Arabidopsis thaliana: one gene and its partner. The protein of the gene in region 1 interacts with the protein of each later gene in a biochemical or structural test. Each region holds a gene or a part of one and is shown in the gene's direction. Other genes may lie near its edges.

Region 1 (5,034 bases):
CTACTTCAGTACCATGGTAGGTTGAGATTCTCCCTTTTTATCTCTCAATCACTAGATATATACATGGCAGGTTTGTTTTTCTTTCTCAAGACTGAAGCCATTATCTGTGTGTTTTGACAGTTAACCGTGCTTACGGTGTATGTGTTTCTTTATGGACGGTTATATCTAGTACTTAGTGGGCTTGAAGAAGGATTGAGTAGCCAACGAGCTTTCCGTAACAATAAGCCTCTTGAGGCAGCTCTTGCTTCTCAATCATTTGTGCAGATTGGTTTTTTAATGGCTTTGCCTATGATGATGGAGATTGGACTTGAGAGGGGGTTCCACAATGCATTGATTGAGTTTGTGCTGATGCAGTTACAACTTGCTTCCGTCTTTTTCACGTTTCAGCTCGGGACAAAAACACATTACTACGGAAGGACATTGTTTCATGGAGGCGCAGAGTATAGAGGAACTGGTCGAGGGTTTGTGGTCTTCCACGCGAAATTTGCTGAGAACTATAGGTTCTATTCCCGTAGTCACTTTGTGAAGGGCATTGAACTTATGATTCTTCTACTGGTATATCAGATCTTTGGTCAATCATATAGGGGTGTGGTTACTTATATTCTGATCACTGTTTCGATATGGTTCATGGTGGTGACATGGCTCTTTGCTCCTTTCCTTTTCAATCCGTCTGGTTTTGAGTGGCAAAAGATTGTTGATGACTGGACAGACTGGAACAAATGGATTTATAACCGAGGAGGAATTGGTGTCCCTCCTGAGAAGAGTTGGGAATCTTGGTGGGAGAAAGAGTTAGAACATCTTAGACATTCAGGGGTTCGTGGTATCACCCTTGAGATCTTTTTGGCCTTGCGCTTCTTCATCTTTCAATATGGACTTGTGTATCATCTCAGTACCTTCAAAGGAAAAAATCAGAGCTTTTGGGTAAGCTAACCTTATAACTACTTCCCTGTGAATGGTGAAACTCTTGATTATTGAACGATAATGACTCTGTTTTCAGGTTTATGGAGCGTCATGGTTTGTGATCTTATTCATTCTACTGATTGTGAAGGTATGAATCTTTAAGCACATTCACATTTCAATTTCTTGCCAAATCTTAACATTGTGTTGCTTTCTTCTATGTAACGATCATTGCAGGGTTTGGGCGTTGGAAGGCGAAGATTCAGCACGAATTTCCAGCTTCTATTCAGAATCATAAAGGGTCTTGTGTTCCTCACATTTGTGGCAATTCTCATAACTTTCCTCGCACTTCCTCTGATAACAATCAAAGACTTATTCATCTGCATGCTTGCCTTCATGCCAACTGGATGGGGAATGCTTCTCGTAAGTCTTTCTCCTCCATCAAACTCCTCTATTTGTATCTAAGATACCAGTTTTGTCTGGTTTTTGTGACAGTTGCTTTGTTTTGTCCTCCACGTCAGATTGCACAAGCGTGTAAGCCTCTGATCCAACAGCTAGGGATATGGTCATCAGTTAGGACGCTAGCTCGAGGCTACGAGATCGTGATGGGCTTGCTTCTGTTCACACCAGTTGCGTTTTTGGCCTGGTTTCCTTTTGTGTCTGAGTTCCAGACAAGAATGCTCTTTAACCAAGCCTTTAGTAGAGGTCTACAAATCTCTCGTATTCTTGGTGGTCAAAGAAAAGACCGGTCTTCAAAAAACAAGGAGTGACATGTACACATGTAAATGGCGTATGTGTAGATTTAATGGTTATCTGTTATTGTTTCCTTCCCAAGTAATCTATAGTTAGAAAGTTCCTGTAACTTTCATAGATATATGTTAATTATTTTCCATTTCCATAAGTTCGCGTCCATTATAATAGAAAGTGCATGAGACGTATCTTTTTCATATGGAAGACGAAAACATTGGTTCTCCATTCTAAAAGTCAAAAAGAAAATGTATATCACTTGAACTTTTCCACATAGGTCATGATAAAGACAGGACTAATCAATCATTCATTGTTGATAATGGTCTCAATTACCTGTTGCTAGTTATTTCTACATTTGTATAGTGCAATACTGTTTTTTTTTCCTCTTCCAAATAAAAACTACAGTACTAAAAGAAAGTTGGTAATCATAAAAGTTATAAAACTCAAATAAAAGCAATTACTCTGTTTCTTTTTCACTCTTATTTTATATGACTGAAATGAAATTGTCTATATGTTGTTTTTGTTTGTATGTTCATTGATATGTAAACATCAAATCTGCAAAAAACAACCGCAAGTTTGGATTTATACGATGAAGCGTTTATCTAGTGAGCGTCATCGCAGACGTCACAAGTTATGTGGTACAATTTTGCGTATGTTTGATGAATACGCATGCATGTGCAGACATCAAAATCCAATTCCTCATCTATATTTATATATATGTATATATATACATATGAAAGCACAGATATATCCACAAGGAGAGACACAGATTCTTGTATTGATACTCACTTCAGTGGAGCTAAGACAAGTAGAAAAAAAATGGCGCCACCGCATTTTCTACTGGTAACGTTTCCGGCGCAAGGTCACGTGAACCCATCTCTCCGTTTTGCTCGTCGGCTCATCAAAAGAACCGGCGCACGTGTCACTTTCGTCACTTGTGTCTCCGTCTTCCACAACTCCATGATCGCAAACCACAACAAAGTCGAAAATCTCTCTTTCCTTACTTTCTCCGACGGTTTCGACGATGGAGGCATTTCCACCTACGAAGACCGTCAGAAAAGGTCGGTGAATCTCAAGGTTAACGGCGATAAGGCACTATCGGATTTCATCGAAGCTACTAAGAATGGTGACTCTCCCGTGACTTGCTTGATCTACACGATTCTTCTCAATTGGGCTCCAAAAGTAGCACGTAGATTTCAACTTCCCTCCGCTCTTCTCTGGATCCAACCGGCTTTGGTTTTCAACATCTATTACACTCATTTCATGGGAAACAAGTCCGTTTTCGAGTTACCTAATCTGTCTTCTCTGGAAATCAGAGATCTTCCATCTTTCCTCACACCTTCCAACACAAACAAAGGCGCATACGATGCGTTTCAAGAAATGATGGAGTTTCTCATAAAAGAAACCAAACCGAAAATTCTCATCAACACTTTCGATTCGCTGGAACCAGAGGCCTTAACGGCTTTCCCGAATATCGATATGGTGGCGGTTGGTCCTTTACTTCCCACGGAGATTTTCTCAGGAAGCACCAACAAATCAGTTAAAGATCAAAGTAGTAGTTATACACTTTGGCTAGACTCGAAAACAGAGTCCTCTGTTATTTACGTTTCCTTTGGAACAATGGTTGAGTTGTCCAAGAAACAGATAGAGGAACTAGCGAGAGCACTCATAGAAGGGAAACGACCGTTTTTGTGGGTTATAACTGATAAATCCAACAGAGAAACGAAAACAGAAGGAGAAGAAGAGACAGAGATTGAGAAGATAGCTGGATTCAGACACGAGCTTGAAGAGGTTGGGATGATTGTGTCGTGGTGTTCGCAGATAGAGGTTTTAAGTCACCGAGCCGTAGGTTGTTTTGTGACTCATTGTGGGTGGAGCTCGACGCTGGAGAGTTTGGTTCTTGGCGTTCCGGTTGTGGCGTTTCCGATGTGGTCGGATCAACCGACGAACGCGAAGCTACTGGAAGAAAGTTGGAAGACTGGTGTGAGGGTAAGAGAGAACAAGGATGGTTTGGTGGAGAGAGGAGAGATCAGGAGGTGTTTGGAAGCCGTGATGGAGGAGAAGTCGGTGGAGTTGAGGGAAAACGCAAAGAAATGGAAGCGTTTAGCGATGGAAGCGGGTAGAGAAGGAGGATCTTCGGATAAGAACATGGAGGCTTTTGTGGAGGATATTTGTGGAGAATCTCTTATTCAAAACTTGTGTGAAGCAGAGGAGGTAAAAGTAAAGTAAATAAAGGACAAAAGAGTTGGTGTCTAGAAGTGGCGGAGTGTTATTTGCTAATACTGTCACTTTGTAATATCAAATTCAATTAAAACATAAAATTTACTCCATCTAGATAAATATGTTTTTTGAATAATGGTCAATTACAAAACATGTTTGATTGAATCACCTTTTTGAGACTCTCCAAGCAAGCGTGTTCGATCGATGGGCGTTTAGCCATTTTCTACCTCCGTTGTTCTTCCGATTAGGTTTCAGGCGAGCCCGTATTGTGATTGGGCCATCTCTTTTCGTTTTGTTTTCTTGTTGGGCTTTCGGCCCTATTGTAATTTTCTATTACAAAAATCAAAACCTTTTGACAGAAAAAAAACCACTCAGCCTTGCCAAATAGAAAGGTCCAAGATATTTAGAAATAATTATGACTAGAATTAGTCCTAAATGTATTTAGACGCTTAGACCATCCTTAATGGTTGGATCCAAACATAATTTATAATTTTAATATTGGAAAATCAAAAATTTAGACACTTTCAGTGTTTATTAGTTTTGAGACAGCCCAATGGTGGATCTAAAAATTGAGGATCTAAAATTTCAAATTTTGAAAAATGTGTATTCTTGAATAACTTGACATACACTCTAAAAAAACTCGAAATGTACACAAGCAATAAACTCAATAAAACACACAACACAACACAAGCATTTACTTGATCACAAACATAACAAGTTTAATTTAGGAAACAAGAAGGAATCCAATGAACCACTGAGTTGTTGCAGTCTTTATGATCCAAATAAATGTCTAAATATCCAAATTTGGATCAAGTCTATTGTTTTTTTTGGCAATTTTGATTTAATGTTTAGATCTTTTTGTGTTTGGCACCCTACTTAGACCTCCCTTATAAAGCAAAGTAAAAAGAATCAGATATTTTCAAAAACGTTACAGCATTTATATTATTATACAATATATTTATTTAGAAAAATAAAACATTTGATGCATTAGAAATAAAGCATAATAATAAAGATTTTATTTTATTTTGGTTAAAGTGTATAACTTTGTCTTGATCATAGTCCTTAAATTACATTTACAGAGAATGTGGGTCCGTTTTATTTATTTGAGGATTTTTACATTTACAAGTTCACTTCTTCTCTTTCTCCCCATCAACACCAACCATTATGCAC
Region 2 (3,659 bases), on another chromosome or scaffold:
GAGACCCACGTGTGTACTTAATTCTGATGAATAATGTGTTATGTACACTGGCACAAATATCTTGCCAAGTAGTGAGTGAGTGTTTGTTGTTTTTTGAATGTGGGTTTTGTTGCAGTATGCAGAGAGCATAAAGATGGATCATGAGAAGAAAGTGGAGCAAGTGAGGAGGCTTGAGATGAAGAGAGCTGAGTATGTCAAGACTGAGAAGGCTAAGAAAGACGTCGAGAAGTTAGAATCTCAGCTCTCAGTATCTTCACAAGCCATCCAAAGCGCCTCTAACGAGATCATCAAGCTCAGAGAGACCGAGCTTTACCCTCAGCTTGTCGAGCTTGTTAAAGGGTTTGTTTTGTGCATTCCCATTGCTTCATTAACCTAAAGTATCTTATGTTGGTCAATGTGAACAAGGTTCTTGTATGAATGTAATGTAGGCTAATGTGTATGTGGAGGAGTATGTACGAGAGCCACCAGGTTCAAACCCATATTGTGCAGCAGCTTAAGTACCTTAACACCATCCCCTCCACTGAACCAACATCTGAGCTTCACCGACAATCAACTCTTCAGCTTGAGCTCGAGGTCCAACAATGGCATCACTCTTTCTGCAACTTGGTCAAGGCCCAACGTGACTACATACAATCTCTCACGGGCTGGCTCAGGTTAAGTCTGTTCCAGTTCAGCAAGAATCCACTTGTTAGGAGTAGCTACGAGTCAAAGATCTACAGCTTCTGCGAGGAATGGCATTTAGCTATTGACAGGATCCCTGATAAAGTAGCATCTGAAGGGATCAAAAGCTTTCTGACAGCAGTCCATGGAATTGTGGCTCAACAAGCCGACGAGCATAAGCAAAAGAAGAGAACAGAATCCATGTTAAAAGATTTCGAGAAGAAATCGGCTTCGCTGAGAGCGCTTGAGAGCAAGTATAGTCCATACTCGGTACCTGAGAGTAGGAAAAAGAACCCGGTGATAGAGAAGAGAGTAAAGGTTGAGATGCTAAAAGGAAAAGCAGAAGAAGAGAAAAGTAAGCATGAGAAGTCAGTGAGTGTGACTAGAGCCATGACTCTAAATAACTTGCAGATGGGTTTCCCTCATGTCTTTCAGGCAATGGTTGGGTTTTCAAGTGTGTGTATGCAAGCCTTTGAGTCTGTGTACAACCAAGCTAAGAGCATCGGTGAGGATCAAGAGGAGGTTAAGAGGTTGCTTCCTTAAAGAGAGAAAGACAAATTGTTTTACCATTTGCTCTCTGTTTTTGCTTGATCCAAGCTAATCTTTTGGTTGAATGTTAGGTTGAGTTTATGCTGTTTTCGAAATGAAATTGGTTAAATGACTTTTCATTGAATCACTGCTTGAAACTTCATCAATTCAACTACTTCTTAGCCAAGTCAAATCATTGGAAGGTGACCTACCAAGGTATTATTAACATTGGAGAAGTGTTAGTTAGTTAGTTAGTGAGGTAGTTAAGGGGATTGCTTAAAGAAGTAAGCAAGTTTAATGATAATCAAACACTCGTGATGTGTACGTAACAGAAGAAAAGAGAGATGATTCGTTTGAGCGGCAGAAAAAGACAAGTGCCTAATTTGATTTCCCATAAATAAACACACAATCGATTGGTAATTTTGATTAGTTGGGAGCTATTAAAAGAGGAAATCCACAATAATCGGAAATAGAAAGACAAGTTTGGTTAGCGGAACGTTTCAACGCCATTTTTCCCGGCCAAAGCTAACTCTAACTAACTCTTTGTTTTTTTTCGGTTTTTGTGCCATCTTCCAGTTTTCATTTTTTTTGTTTCCCCTCTATCTTTTTGGGTAATAGGGTTTCTAATCTCTGGGACAAACTCCAATCGTTTCGAATCCGCAATGCCCAGATGGTCGATCAATAGAAATATCAAGAGTCTCCAATTCCAAAGGCTAAATCTTTGAGATCTTTTTTTTTATAAATTTCCCTGAAATTAATAAACTTTGAGGGGAAATGAGCGCTTCGAGGTTCGTAAAGTGCGTGACGGTTGGTGATGGAGCTGTCGGAAAAACTTGTTTGTTGATTTCTTACACAAGCAACACTTTCCCTACGGTTATGTCCCAATTATTCTTTCATGTTTCTTGTTTCATTACCACAACAACAACATATCTCATGTTTCTTGTTTCTTTTGTGGATATACAGGATTATGTGCCTACCGTTTTCGATAATTTCAGTGCCAATGTTGTGGTTAATGGAAGCACTGTGAATCTTGGATTGTGGGACACTGCAGGTTTTTCATTTTCCTATATATCTTGGTGTTTGAAATTTGGAATATGGTTTTTGGATCTGAAGATTTTGAAAATTTGGGTATGAATAAACAGGGCAAGAGGATTACAATAGATTAAGACCACTGAGTTACCGTGGAGCAGATGTTTTCATTTTGGCCTTCTCTCTTATCAGTAAAGCCAGTTATGAAAACGTCTCCAAAAAGGTTTTAAAAATCCATCAATCTTGTTTCATATTATTGAGTTTTCGTCACATTTTTTGAACTCTTGTCACAAATTGTGTTTGCAGTGGATCCCGGAGTTGAAACATTACGCGCCTGGTGTCCCCATCGTCCTTGTTGGAACAAAGCTTGGTGAGTTTTCCATTGTTTTTTCCTGATCTCGCTCCTTTTACTTTATTAGTTGTGACTGAGTTTGTGTTTTTGCTCTCCAGATCTTCGAGATGATAAACAGTTCTTTATCGACCATCCTGGTGCTGTTCCGATTACTACTGCTCAGGGAGAGGAGCTGAGGAAGCAAATAGGAGCACCTACTTACATCGAATGCAGTTCCAAAACTCAAGAGGTACGTAGATTAGTATATATACCCTTGTTGCAGATTTCTAATGTTAATGTTAATGCTAATGTTGATGATGTGAGAGTGCAGAATGTGAAGGCGGTGTTTGACGCAGCCATCCGAGTGGTGTTGCAACCGCCAAAGCAGAAGAAGAAGAAGAGCAAAGCGCAGAAGGCATGCTCCATTCTATGATGATTGGAAATCTCTGTTTTTATGTATTTGGTTTTGGTATATTAATCTTCTAACAATGAATGAATCAATGTGTTAATGGACAGACACCCAAGTTTGACTGGTCCTTTTTGTTCTTAATATTAATGGAGTTTGTCGGAATCAACGTTTCTTTTGCTTCTACGATTCAGTCCTATGCATAATTCCACACAAACACCACATGTTTTGAATCAGTTTTCATTCCCACCATTTCTTCAGCTGACCATATTTTGTATGTTACTGTTTTAAACTTTGCAAACATGTTTATTGGTAGAGAGTGTAACTAGGAAATGAAAAGTAATGATACAAGTTTTATTTCTCAAGATTACTCTTCATGCTTCTGCAACAAGACGAGAAGCCATTGATTATTGATGATTTGCCTAACAGAATGCAAGAAATAAATTCATTCAAACCATTCCATTTTGATTTTCTCGTATTTCTCATTCATGCCACCATCTTCTTGCTGTCTCTGAAACTCGATGTAACGTAGAGTACTATTTATGAATGGCTCTGCGCCTGACTCAACCTTCTTTGTCTCGCTTTTGATTAATTCAGCTAAGCTCTTGATTGTATCGCCTGTTACTTGTTGGTTTCCTTTCTCCAGGAAGTAGAGATACCTGCATTTGACTCGTAAAACCATTAAGAGAAAGCAGTGACAACTGG

The links.
Region 2: the proteins of UGT75B1 (region 1) and ROP1 form a complex in vitro, tested with the Arabidopsis thaliana proteins (one study listed by BioGRID).

Annotation. Positions count from the first base shown.
Region 1 is NC_003070.9:1,644,513-1,649,546, reverse strand, and holds UGT75B1 (UDP-glucosyltransferase 75B1), read left to right. Parts: upstream 1-2,111; 5' UTR 2,112-2,313; coding exon 2,314-3,873; 3' UTR 3,874-4,247; downstream 4,248-5,034. Other genes in the region: CALS1 (callose synthase 1), read left to right, coding at 1-16, 121-921, 998-1,048, 1,135-1,320, 1,419-1,667. UniProt on the Arabidopsis thaliana protein: Possesses low catalytic activity on indole-3-acetic acid (IAA) in vitro. May transfer UDP-glucose from sucrose synthase to callose synthase for the synthesis of callose at the forming cell plate during cytokinesis. Has high affinity for 4-aminobenzoate.
Region 2 is NC_003074.8:19,041,235-19,044,893, forward strand, and holds ROP1 (RHO-related protein from plants 1), read left to right. Parts: upstream 1-1,623; 5' UTR 1,624-1,962; coding exon 1,963-2,061; intron 2,062-2,151; coding exon 2,152-2,239; intron 2,240-2,330; coding exon 2,331-2,440; intron 2,441-2,523; coding exon 2,524-2,587; intron 2,588-2,667; coding exon 2,668-2,798; intron 2,799-2,879; coding exon 2,880-2,981; 3' UTR 2,982-3,159; downstream 3,160-3,659. Other genes in the region: AT3G51290 (pyridoxal-phosphate-dependent serine hydroxymethyltransferase, putative (DUF632)), read left to right, coding at 116-339, 429-1,182, 2,152-2,239, 2,331-2,440, 2,524-2,587, 2,668-2,798, 2,880-2,981; VPS35C (VPS35 homolog C), read right to left, coding at 3,400-3,613. UniProt on the Arabidopsis thaliana protein: May be involved in cell polarity control during the actin-dependent tip growth of pollen tubes. May regulate callose synthase 1 (CALS1) activity through the interaction with UGT1.